2 linked regions of the Sus scrofa genome follow. The protein of the gene in region 2 purifies or fractionates together with the protein of the main gene of each other region. This does not show direct contact. Links are inferred from orthologs where the notes say so. Each region holds a gene or a part of one and is shown on either strand. Other genes may lie near its edges.

The links. Proteins that work in one complex are often made in the same cells at the same time.
Region 1: the proteins of PSMB3 (region 2) and PSME2 purify together in Homo sapiens (affinity purification with mass spectrometry; 3 studies listed by BioGRID and IntAct, counting the BioPlex papers as one, with this or other methods). This does not show direct contact. The link is inferred for Sus scrofa from reciprocal best matches to the Homo sapiens genes PSMB3 and PSME2.

Annotation. Positions count from the first base shown.
Region 1 is NC_010449.5:75,153,129-75,157,616, reverse strand, and holds the start of PSME2 (proteasome activator complex subunit 2), read right to left. Parts: upstream 3,048-4,488; 5' UTR 2,969-3,047; coding exon 2,921-2,968; intron 2,614-2,920; coding exon 2,581-2,613; intron 2,154-2,580; coding exon of another isoform or gene 2,091-2,153; intron 1,846-2,090; coding exon 1,759-1,845; intron 1,655-1,758; coding exon 1,624-1,654; intron 1,536-1,623; coding exon 1,438-1,535; intron 865-1,437; coding exon 796-864; intron 641-795; coding exon 573-640; intron 409-572; coding exon 354-408; intron 50-353; coding exon 1-49. UniProt on the Homo sapiens protein: Implicated in immunoproteasome assembly and required for efficient antigen processing. The PA28 activator complex enhances the generation of class I binding peptides by altering the cleavage pattern of the proteasome.
Region 2 is NC_010454.4:23,347,433-23,351,491, reverse strand, and holds part of PSMB3 (proteasome subunit beta type-3), read left to right. Parts: intron 1-1,042; coding exon 1,043-1,220; intron 1,221-3,420; coding exon 3,421-3,515; intron 3,516-4,059. UniProt on the Homo sapiens protein: Non-catalytic component of the 20S core proteasome complex involved in the proteolytic degradation of most intracellular proteins. This complex plays numerous essential roles within the cell by associating with different regulatory particles.

The DNA of each region.
Region 1 (4,488 bases), on a different chromosome or scaffold from region 2:
CCCCATGGGCTGCCTCATCTCGTTCGTGCACCAGGGCCCGGTAATCCATCTGGGATGTGGGAGGCAAAGCTGAGTCAGCCCCATGGGAGGTTGGGACATTCATCTGGTTTCCTCATATAGGGAATAGGTAACTTGAGGAATGAGCCCCTTCTCAGCACCAGGAAATGGGATCCCACAAGATCCAGCAGAGAAAGGAGGTAAAGTTTTTGAAGCCCAAGTTTGGGGCAATGGTTTTGGCTTAATATTCTCCACATTGGGAAGGTCACAGACAAAACAAGGAGGACCATTGTGCCCTCTTCCTCATCCCACCCCCAGCCAGTCTCCAATAACAGGCTGGTGGACTATCCACTCACTACATGGGTCTCCTTGGAGGCCTTGGCCACAGCATCCCCACGTTCTGAGAAGTACCTGCCGAAAGCAAGGGGAGTAACCATAGGAGTGGGTGTTCAGAGAGAGATAGTCCCTCAGACCCTTCCCAAGGCCCCCCATTATCCCGATGGGCATGTCCCGCTTTGGGAGTCCCCACAGAATGTCCTTGCAGACCCCTGTGCTGGCCCTCCAGCTGCCCTCACTTGGAAATGGTGGTCTGGAAGGCTTCTACTTTGGTCTTGACTGCATTTACCCTCTCCAGCACCTTTTCCTGTGGTGACAAAAGAGATGGGAGGCAAAGAAAACACTTCATCTTGTCCCTTTTTCACTCACTGTCTACCTCCTCCTCGCAGTTCATATCTAGTCTCTATCCCTTACTCCCCAAGACTCTTCCTGCTCTCAGCATCCTCACAGACCCTTTCTCACCTGGACTGCCACCCCAAAGTCATTTCCATCCTCAATTTTGGGGATCAGGTGCTGGATCCATGTGATCACCTACAATAAGAGCTATCATGTAAGAATCATTCAACAAAATTCTGTTCTTAGTACGGTTACTTCCTAAAAATAGCTACATTTAACTGAGTACTTATTATTTGACAGGCACTGTGCTATGTATTATATATCTCATTTAATCTTCACGGCAACCTTTCAGGCTTGTACCCATTTAAACAGATGAAAATGCTGAGTCACAGAATGTCTAAGTGACTTACTTAAGGTAACCAATTAGGTAAGTGATAGAGTCAGGATTCGAATGAAGGCAGTCTCCCTCTAGGGTCCAAGCTCTTAAACCAACTCACTGTATCAGAGCACCTGCACTGTGTACCTGCTACAGCAGTAGGTTCTGAGGTTATGGAGGGGGATGCAACACAGTTTGATTTAGAGGGTACCACTGTAATATCAGAGGTCTAGCAGAACAAGGAGAGCAAAAGTTATCTAAACACAAGGCACAGAAGGAAGCTCCCTATTTTGAGAATAGGTTCCTAAAGGAAGGACTTGGAACTCTGAAGGAGATCAAGGCATGGCCTTGCTTGTCTTCTCTTTCTATGTCCCCCAGTTTCCCAAGCTTACCAGAATGCATTTTTCTTTGAGAGTCCAGACTTCTGGCTTAACCAGGCCAAGCAAGGCCAGGATCTTCTCGTTCCCAGGGAGAAAGCCACACTTAGGGACTGTGAGAAAGAGGAGATTTAGATCCCTTCACATCCAGCAATCAGTGTGCCATTTCTCTTTCCCTAACCTCCCCCCTTCCCCTCTTACCTTCTTTCTTCTCCTGCTTATCTGTTTCCATCTAAGGAGAAAAGGGGGGAAGAAACTTTAGAAAAGTCATGGAGGTTGGCAGACCATTATGTACAGTGGATTTATAGCCCAAGCCCTATGCCCTAAGTGCCTCACCTCATCATCCTTGGGTGGGGGGTCTGGGATGGGGATGTCCAGCGGGGCCCGGAGAGAAGTGAGGTCGGTCACGTTGAGGGAGTCCTCCTGCACAGAGCTCACTGTCAGGGACTGCCCAGCCTCTTCCCGTCCTCCTGAGTCACAGCCTTCCCCCACACACATCGTACCCACCCTCCTCCTCCCAACCTAGGCTGAGGCTTGGCACTATCCTAATGTTCCCAGTCCACTACTCGCAACTCTTCTCTGCAGTTGGAGCCCAGCTGTTAGCTAGAGAGAGTGGATGGAGAGGAGAGGGGCCATGGGTTGGGACAGAAGAGGTTCACTCTACTCACTTGCAAGAGCTGACTCAGGTATATGATTTTCTGAGGCAAAAATCTGTAGAGGAATTCCTCAGCCTGCGGGTTATGTTTCAAGGGTAAGAATCACAGAAGACACTCAGTGAGAAGTCTGAGGAGTGGGACTGGAAGGGCCCTTGGAAATCTTTGAATCCAATACTTACAAATGAGGAAACTGAATCCCTGAAAAGTGAAGGGAGCAAGCTGGGAAGTGGTAGAACCAAGGTTAGAACTGTGGTATTCCCGCTTTGGGGCTACAGCTTTTCCCTTCACACCGAAAGATGGGAGAGGAAGTGGCATAAGTGGGGAAGGTATTAAGAGGGGTCAAAGTAAAAGAAGAGATTAGTAACTAGGAGCTTATCTTGGGTGAAGGTTGATAAGGGAAGTAGGGCCTGGGTCGAGGGTGGGTTTAGGGGTCTGGGAAGTTGCAATGCTCAGGAATTGGTCTGAGATTCTGCGTCAAATCACTTGAATCCAGAAGACTTACCTCCTGGAAAAGATTTTGCCTGAAGACATCCACCTGCAGAGAGAGCAGTACCCGGATGTTGGTTAAGGGTCTCACTTGCCCACAGTAAGACCCCACCCCCAACAGGATGCCCTCCAACTTGGCTCAGGCCTTTCCCACTACAAGCCACATTTCCCTGGAAGCCCCTGCCCAAGGTAGAGACTGCTCAGAGGGCAGGAATCTGGGACTCTCGGGACAGAAGTGAAAGCACTTAGGGAGGTTGGGGGATTTCTCTGGCACGGCCTTGGTCCCCTGGAGCACCCAGTTTGGCTTCCATTCGGGAGGGCTTTTGGACCCTTCCTGGCCTCCCGGTTCCCCATACCTGTTTGCGGGCTTCCCCGCTCAGGCGCACCCCACAAGGCTTGGCCATGCTGCTCCAGTTGCTGCTAGATCTCCGGTCTCCCCGCTCGCAGCCTGGGCTTTCGCTTTCACTCCCCACGTCCAGGCCCGCCCCCCTCAACCCCGCCCCCTTCCTTCTTTTCCCCCTCCCCCTGGAAGGCAGCAAACTGTTGGGAGCCCCTCTGCCATTCTCGGCCTGTGCGACTAGGAGAGGCGGTGCTGACTTGGTCACAAGCCCAGGGGCTGTCCAGGGGAGGGGCTAGGACAAGTTGGACCGCGGAGACTGAACAGGGGCTGTCCCTTGGAGAAGGGGCGGGGCTTATGGGGGGGAAGAACATCAAGGGGATGTCCAGGTTTGGGGTGAGAGGGTGGAAGAGTGGGAAAGGGGGTGTTTAGTGGTGGGGCTCCCCTAGGAAGGCTCGACTGAGGGGAGGGGCCTGAGAGAGATCAGAGTCGGGTAGGAGAAGTAGTAGGCGGGAGAAGGGATAGCAGGATATGGAAGGGAACAGGCGGGTCTTCCTCCCGGAGGACGCCCTGTCTTCAAGACCGACTGGAAAAGGGACTTGTGTAGGGTTCAGGCTGGCAGAGTTGAGTTCCTGAGTGGGATTTCCCCTGTGGGGTTCGGGTAGAGAGAAGGGCTTTGAGGGAAATAAAATAACACCGAACCTGGGGCTATACACAGGGGTTGGCACCGGACTGGACCAAGGTAGGGAAGAGCGCTAGAACAAGGTTTAAAGCCTAGAAGCTCTGAGGGAGGAGCCAGTGACTATTTACCATTCTCATTGGCTGAGGCTTGTTGGCCACGCCCCGGTCTCCTGGGCCCCGCCCCTCCTTAAGTTTAAACCCCTCCCCTTCCCCTGAAACTGGGTCGCAATCCCGCCCTCTTCCCTAGTACTTCCTGTTCCCGCTAATCCTGGCGTGGGGCCCGAGGCCCAAGAGTGACCGTGGCCTGAGTGACTTAGGGTTCCCGTGCCGACCGTGTCGCTCCGCGAAGCCAGACCCCAGGTGCTCGGGGCGGCTCTCGGGCCGCGCCCAACCTGCTCTGGGTTCCGGCGGGCAGCGGACTGGGGCAGACTCCTGTCTTAGGATGCCTAGGGAGGAGGAGGAGCGAGCCTTCCTGGAGGCCCGCGAGGAGCTGGCGAACGCCCTGAGGAGGGATTCCGGGCAGGCGTTTTCGGTGGAGCAGCTTCGGCCACTACTGGTCACCTCTCTGCCGCCAGCAGCCCGCTACTTGCAGCTGAACGCTGCACGCCTGGTCCGCTGCAACGCTCATGGGGAGGTGAGGCCCAGCCCCGCCTAGGAGGGGGACAGGGGAGCAGAGGTCCGGTCGGGGCTCACAGCTCTCTGCTCTCTGACTGCTCTCAGCCCCGAAACTACCTCAGCACCCTCTCCACGGCCCTGAACATCCTGGAGAAATATGGCCGCAACCTTCTCAGTCCTCAGCGGCCCCGGTACTGGCGCGGGGTCAAGTTTAATAACCCTGTCTTTCGCAGTACGGTGGATGCTGTGCAGGTGAAGCCTCTGGGCCCCTTATGGGGGAAGGGGACTTAA
Region 2 (4,059 bases):
AAGGAATTACCAGAGTTCCCATTGTAGGTCAGCAGTTCCGAACCCAACTAGTAACCATGAGGATGCGGGTTCAATCCCTGGCCTCGCTCAGTGGGTTAAGGATCCAGCGTAGCCATGAAATATGGTATAGGTCGCAGGCGCAGCCCGACTGCTGCGTTCCTGTGGCTGTGGTGTGGGCTGGCACCTGTAGCTCCGATTGGACCCCCTCGCCTGAGAAATTGCATATGCCATGGGTGCACCCCTAAAAAACAAACAAAAAAATTACCAGGTGCTGATATAAGACATGGATAATGCCTCCTCGTGGATCCTAGTCAGATTCGTTTCCACTTCTCCGTGATGGGAACTCTGATATCCACATTTTTTATATTCTCTTGCACTATGGTTTATTATAGGATAGTGCGTATAGTTCCCTGTGCTACGCAGTAGCACTTTGTTGTTTCTCTCTTTTATATGCAGTAGTTTGTACTCGTTAATCCTAGGCTCTTACTCCTCTTCCCCTTTGGTAACCATTACTTTTCTATGTCTCTGAGTCTGTTTCTGTTTCGTAAATAAGTTCATTTGTGTTATTTTTTAGGTTCCACATGTAAGTGATGGTGTATTTGTGTTCCTCTTTCGGATTCAGTTCACTTAGTCTGATCATCTCTGGCTCCATCCATATTGGTTTAGTGTTATTTTTCAGTGTTTTTTCCTACAAACTGCTTCAAATCCTTTTTTGGGAAAAGAGTAAAGGTAGAGGTGTATCCATAGAAGATTGATTGGTGACAGGACCTGGATGAGGACAGGGAACATTAGGGGGAAACATAGAATCCCCCAAAAAAGGAAGAGGAAGAGAGGGTCGGGGGCGAGAAGAACACCAAGTGAGTGTCAGAGAAGAGGAGGAAAAGCCTTCGCACACTGCTTGGTGCAGGAGACGGGAAGGGAGGGTCCCACACAGGCCCTCTGCCTTCCCCCCTGCGTCTGGCCCAGGGCCTGGTCTGAATAGGCCTGGCCAGAAAAGCGAATGCTCTTGAGCTCTGGTCTCTCTCTGCTCCTGATCCCGCAGGTTTGGGCCCTACTACACTGAGCCGGTCATCGCCGGGTTGGACCCCAAGACCTTTAAGCCCTTCATTTGCTCTCTAGACCTTATCGGCTGCCCCATGGTGACTGATGACTTTGTGGTCAGTGGCACCTGCACGGAACAAATGTACGGGATGTGTGAGTCCCTCTGGGAACCCGACATGGTGAGTTGGCGGCATGGAGTGGGGCGGGGTTCTGAGGGGCCCGCCCCTCGGCCATCAGGGGAAGGTGGGTTTACCTGGCAGGTAATGGGGAGAAGGATGCGGGTAGGAGAGAAAGCCAAGCTGCTGAGCCTGGGAAGAGTGTCCAGAACAATCTGCCAGGGCCTTGGTGTGGGCCCTCAGTCAGATATTTGCCATAACAGCTCATTCTCACATTTGGCTTACAGAGTTCTTCCGTTCATTCAACAAACTTTTTTTTTTTTTCTGCTTTTTGCTTTTTAGGGCCGCACCCGTGGCATATGGAGGTTCTCAGGCTAGGGATCCAATTGGCGCTGCAGCTGCCAGCCTACACCACAACAATGCAGGATCCAAGCCACGTCTTCAACCTGTGCCACAGGTCACGGCAACACCAGATCCTTAACCCACTGAGCAAGGCCAGGGATCAAACCCGCAACCTCATGGTTCCTAGTCAGATTTGTTTCCACTGCGCCACAGCAGGAGCTCCCCATTCAGCAAGCATTTAACAGGGTGTAGGGTTAAGGACAGCTCAGCAGAATGGGCTCTGGAACCAGGTTTTCTGGGTTGGAAACCCACTTCCACCTACCACTTAATTGGTTATGTTCTCGGGGAGTCACCTGACGTCCGTGCGCCTCCAGTCCCTCAGCCGTAGAGTGGGGGTGACACCAGAACCGACCTCATGAGCGGTGGTGTGAGGAAATCGCAGGGAGAGATTGGAACAGAGCCTGACAGTGAGCGCTGGCCACTGTGCCAGCTCTGCTAGGCTCTGGGGAAACCAGATAGTCTGTCTTCAAGGATTTATTGCAGCCTAATGAAGCAAGACAAACACCCAGATACCTGTTAAAGTGAAGTTTGCCAGGAAAAAGAGGAAAGAAAGGGCCCGGTTGGCCGAAGGAACGGCCTGTGCAAAGGTGCGAGAAGGGCCAAGTGTGTTCAGTGATGGAAAGAGCTTGCTGTGGCTGCTGGAGGGTGGGCAGAGGCGGGTGAGAGGAAGGCAGGGCGTGAGCTCAGGAAGAGACCTGAAATGCCTGGAAGGCCGTGAGCAGCAGTTTGAACCTTTTCTTTTGGCATCATGTCAAAGGCTGTAAGAAACCTGAGGAACCAGAGGCCCGCGGGAGGCGCTGAGGTCCTGAGCAAAGAGAGTAGCAGGTGCGGAGCAGGGCAGCCAGGTCTAGAGGACTCAATCACCTAAAATAGAAATGAGGAAAGTGAGAGTTCCCTTGGTGGTTCAGTGGGTTAAGAACCTGACATAGTGTCCGTGAAGATGCAGGTTCGATCCCTGGCCTTGCTTAGTGGGTTAAGAATCCGGCATTGCTGCAGGCTGTAGCATAGGTCCCAGACGCGGTTTGGATCTGAAGGCCCGCAGCTGCAGCTCTGTCTCCACTCCTAGCCTGGGAATGTCTATACGCCGAGGTGTGGCTGTAAAAAGAAAAAAAAAAAAAGAAAGAAATGAAGGAGGCAGAGATACTGAGGACACTTGAGTTTTCTAGCTAGGCCAATGAAGATAGAGGATATAGGAGAAGAAACAGGTTTGGGAGGAAATAGGTTCATGGTTGGACAGGTTGGATTTCGAGGTACCTCTGGGCCACCCAGGAGGAGAGTCCATCAGACTCATGGGGGGTGGGGGTGGGGTGTCTTTTTTTTTTTGGCTTTTTAGGACCGAACCCGTGGCATATGGAGGTTCCCAGGCCAGGGGTCTAATTCAGAGCTGCAGCTGCCAGCCTACATCACAGACACAGCAACAGGGGATCTGAGCCTTGTCTGTGACCTACACCACAGCCTCACAGCAATACCAGATCCCTAACCCACTGAGCAAGGCTAGGGATCCATCCTGCATCCCCATGGTTACTAGTCAGATTCATTTCCGCTGAGCCACAACAGGAACTCCCTTCTCTCCATTTTATAGAAGAGGGATTGAGGCTTACGGAAGGGACATGCGACTTGCTCAAGGTCACGCTGCTGGTTAGTGTAGGAAGTTCGGGGCTTGAATTTCACCTTTTATAACCCTGCTTCCCTCTTGAGAAGGAGCTGAGGGGGCTTCTCACATCCAAGGAACCATCCCTCACTCCAGGCCTGGGAGGGGCCAGAGCCAGGCACCCTGAGCCTAGAGAAGAGAGTCCTGCGGAGCCAGACCAAATCAGGGTCCGAGGCTCCGGGGATTAAAGGGCTTCCGCTCTATTGGCAGGATCCAGAGCACCTGTTTGAAACCATCTCCCAAGCCATGCTGAACGCCGTGGACAGGGACGCGGTGTCGGGCATGGGCGTCATCGTCCACGTCATGTGAGTATGCGCTGGGAGACTCCGGAAGCCTTGCAGACGCCCGCCTCTCCCCTCCTGCACGAACACCCCATCGGGTGGGAAATGAGGCACTTGCAGCAGGCCCGTGACAGCTGAAAGGCCCGCTTCCTGAGGGCGGCCGCTGGGAGCCTACCCCGATTCCTGGCCTCCGTCCAGAGAGGGCTCCATGACCCCGAGTCTCCTCCCCTTGCTCACAGGAGACATTTCTTTCCTTCCTGAACAGTGTCCCCAAAGTCTCAGGGACTTGGTGTAGGGATGAGCCACAGCAGGGTTACTGCAGATTGATCGAAATAACGCCTGCGTGGCTCCTCTCCCCTCTCAACTGAAGCCAGCATGGAACCCCCAGCCGCGTGGTGTACTGCGCTCTGGGGACAGTTTCCAGCCCCCAGCCCGATGCCTGACTGCCTCCCCTTCTCCCTCTTACTTGTGCGGGGCTCTCACCAGGCACCTGACTTGCAGGGCCCAAGGTATCCTCCCGACAGCTTTCCTGGGGACCAGCCCAGAATAAGCACCTGGGCCCTTTTGT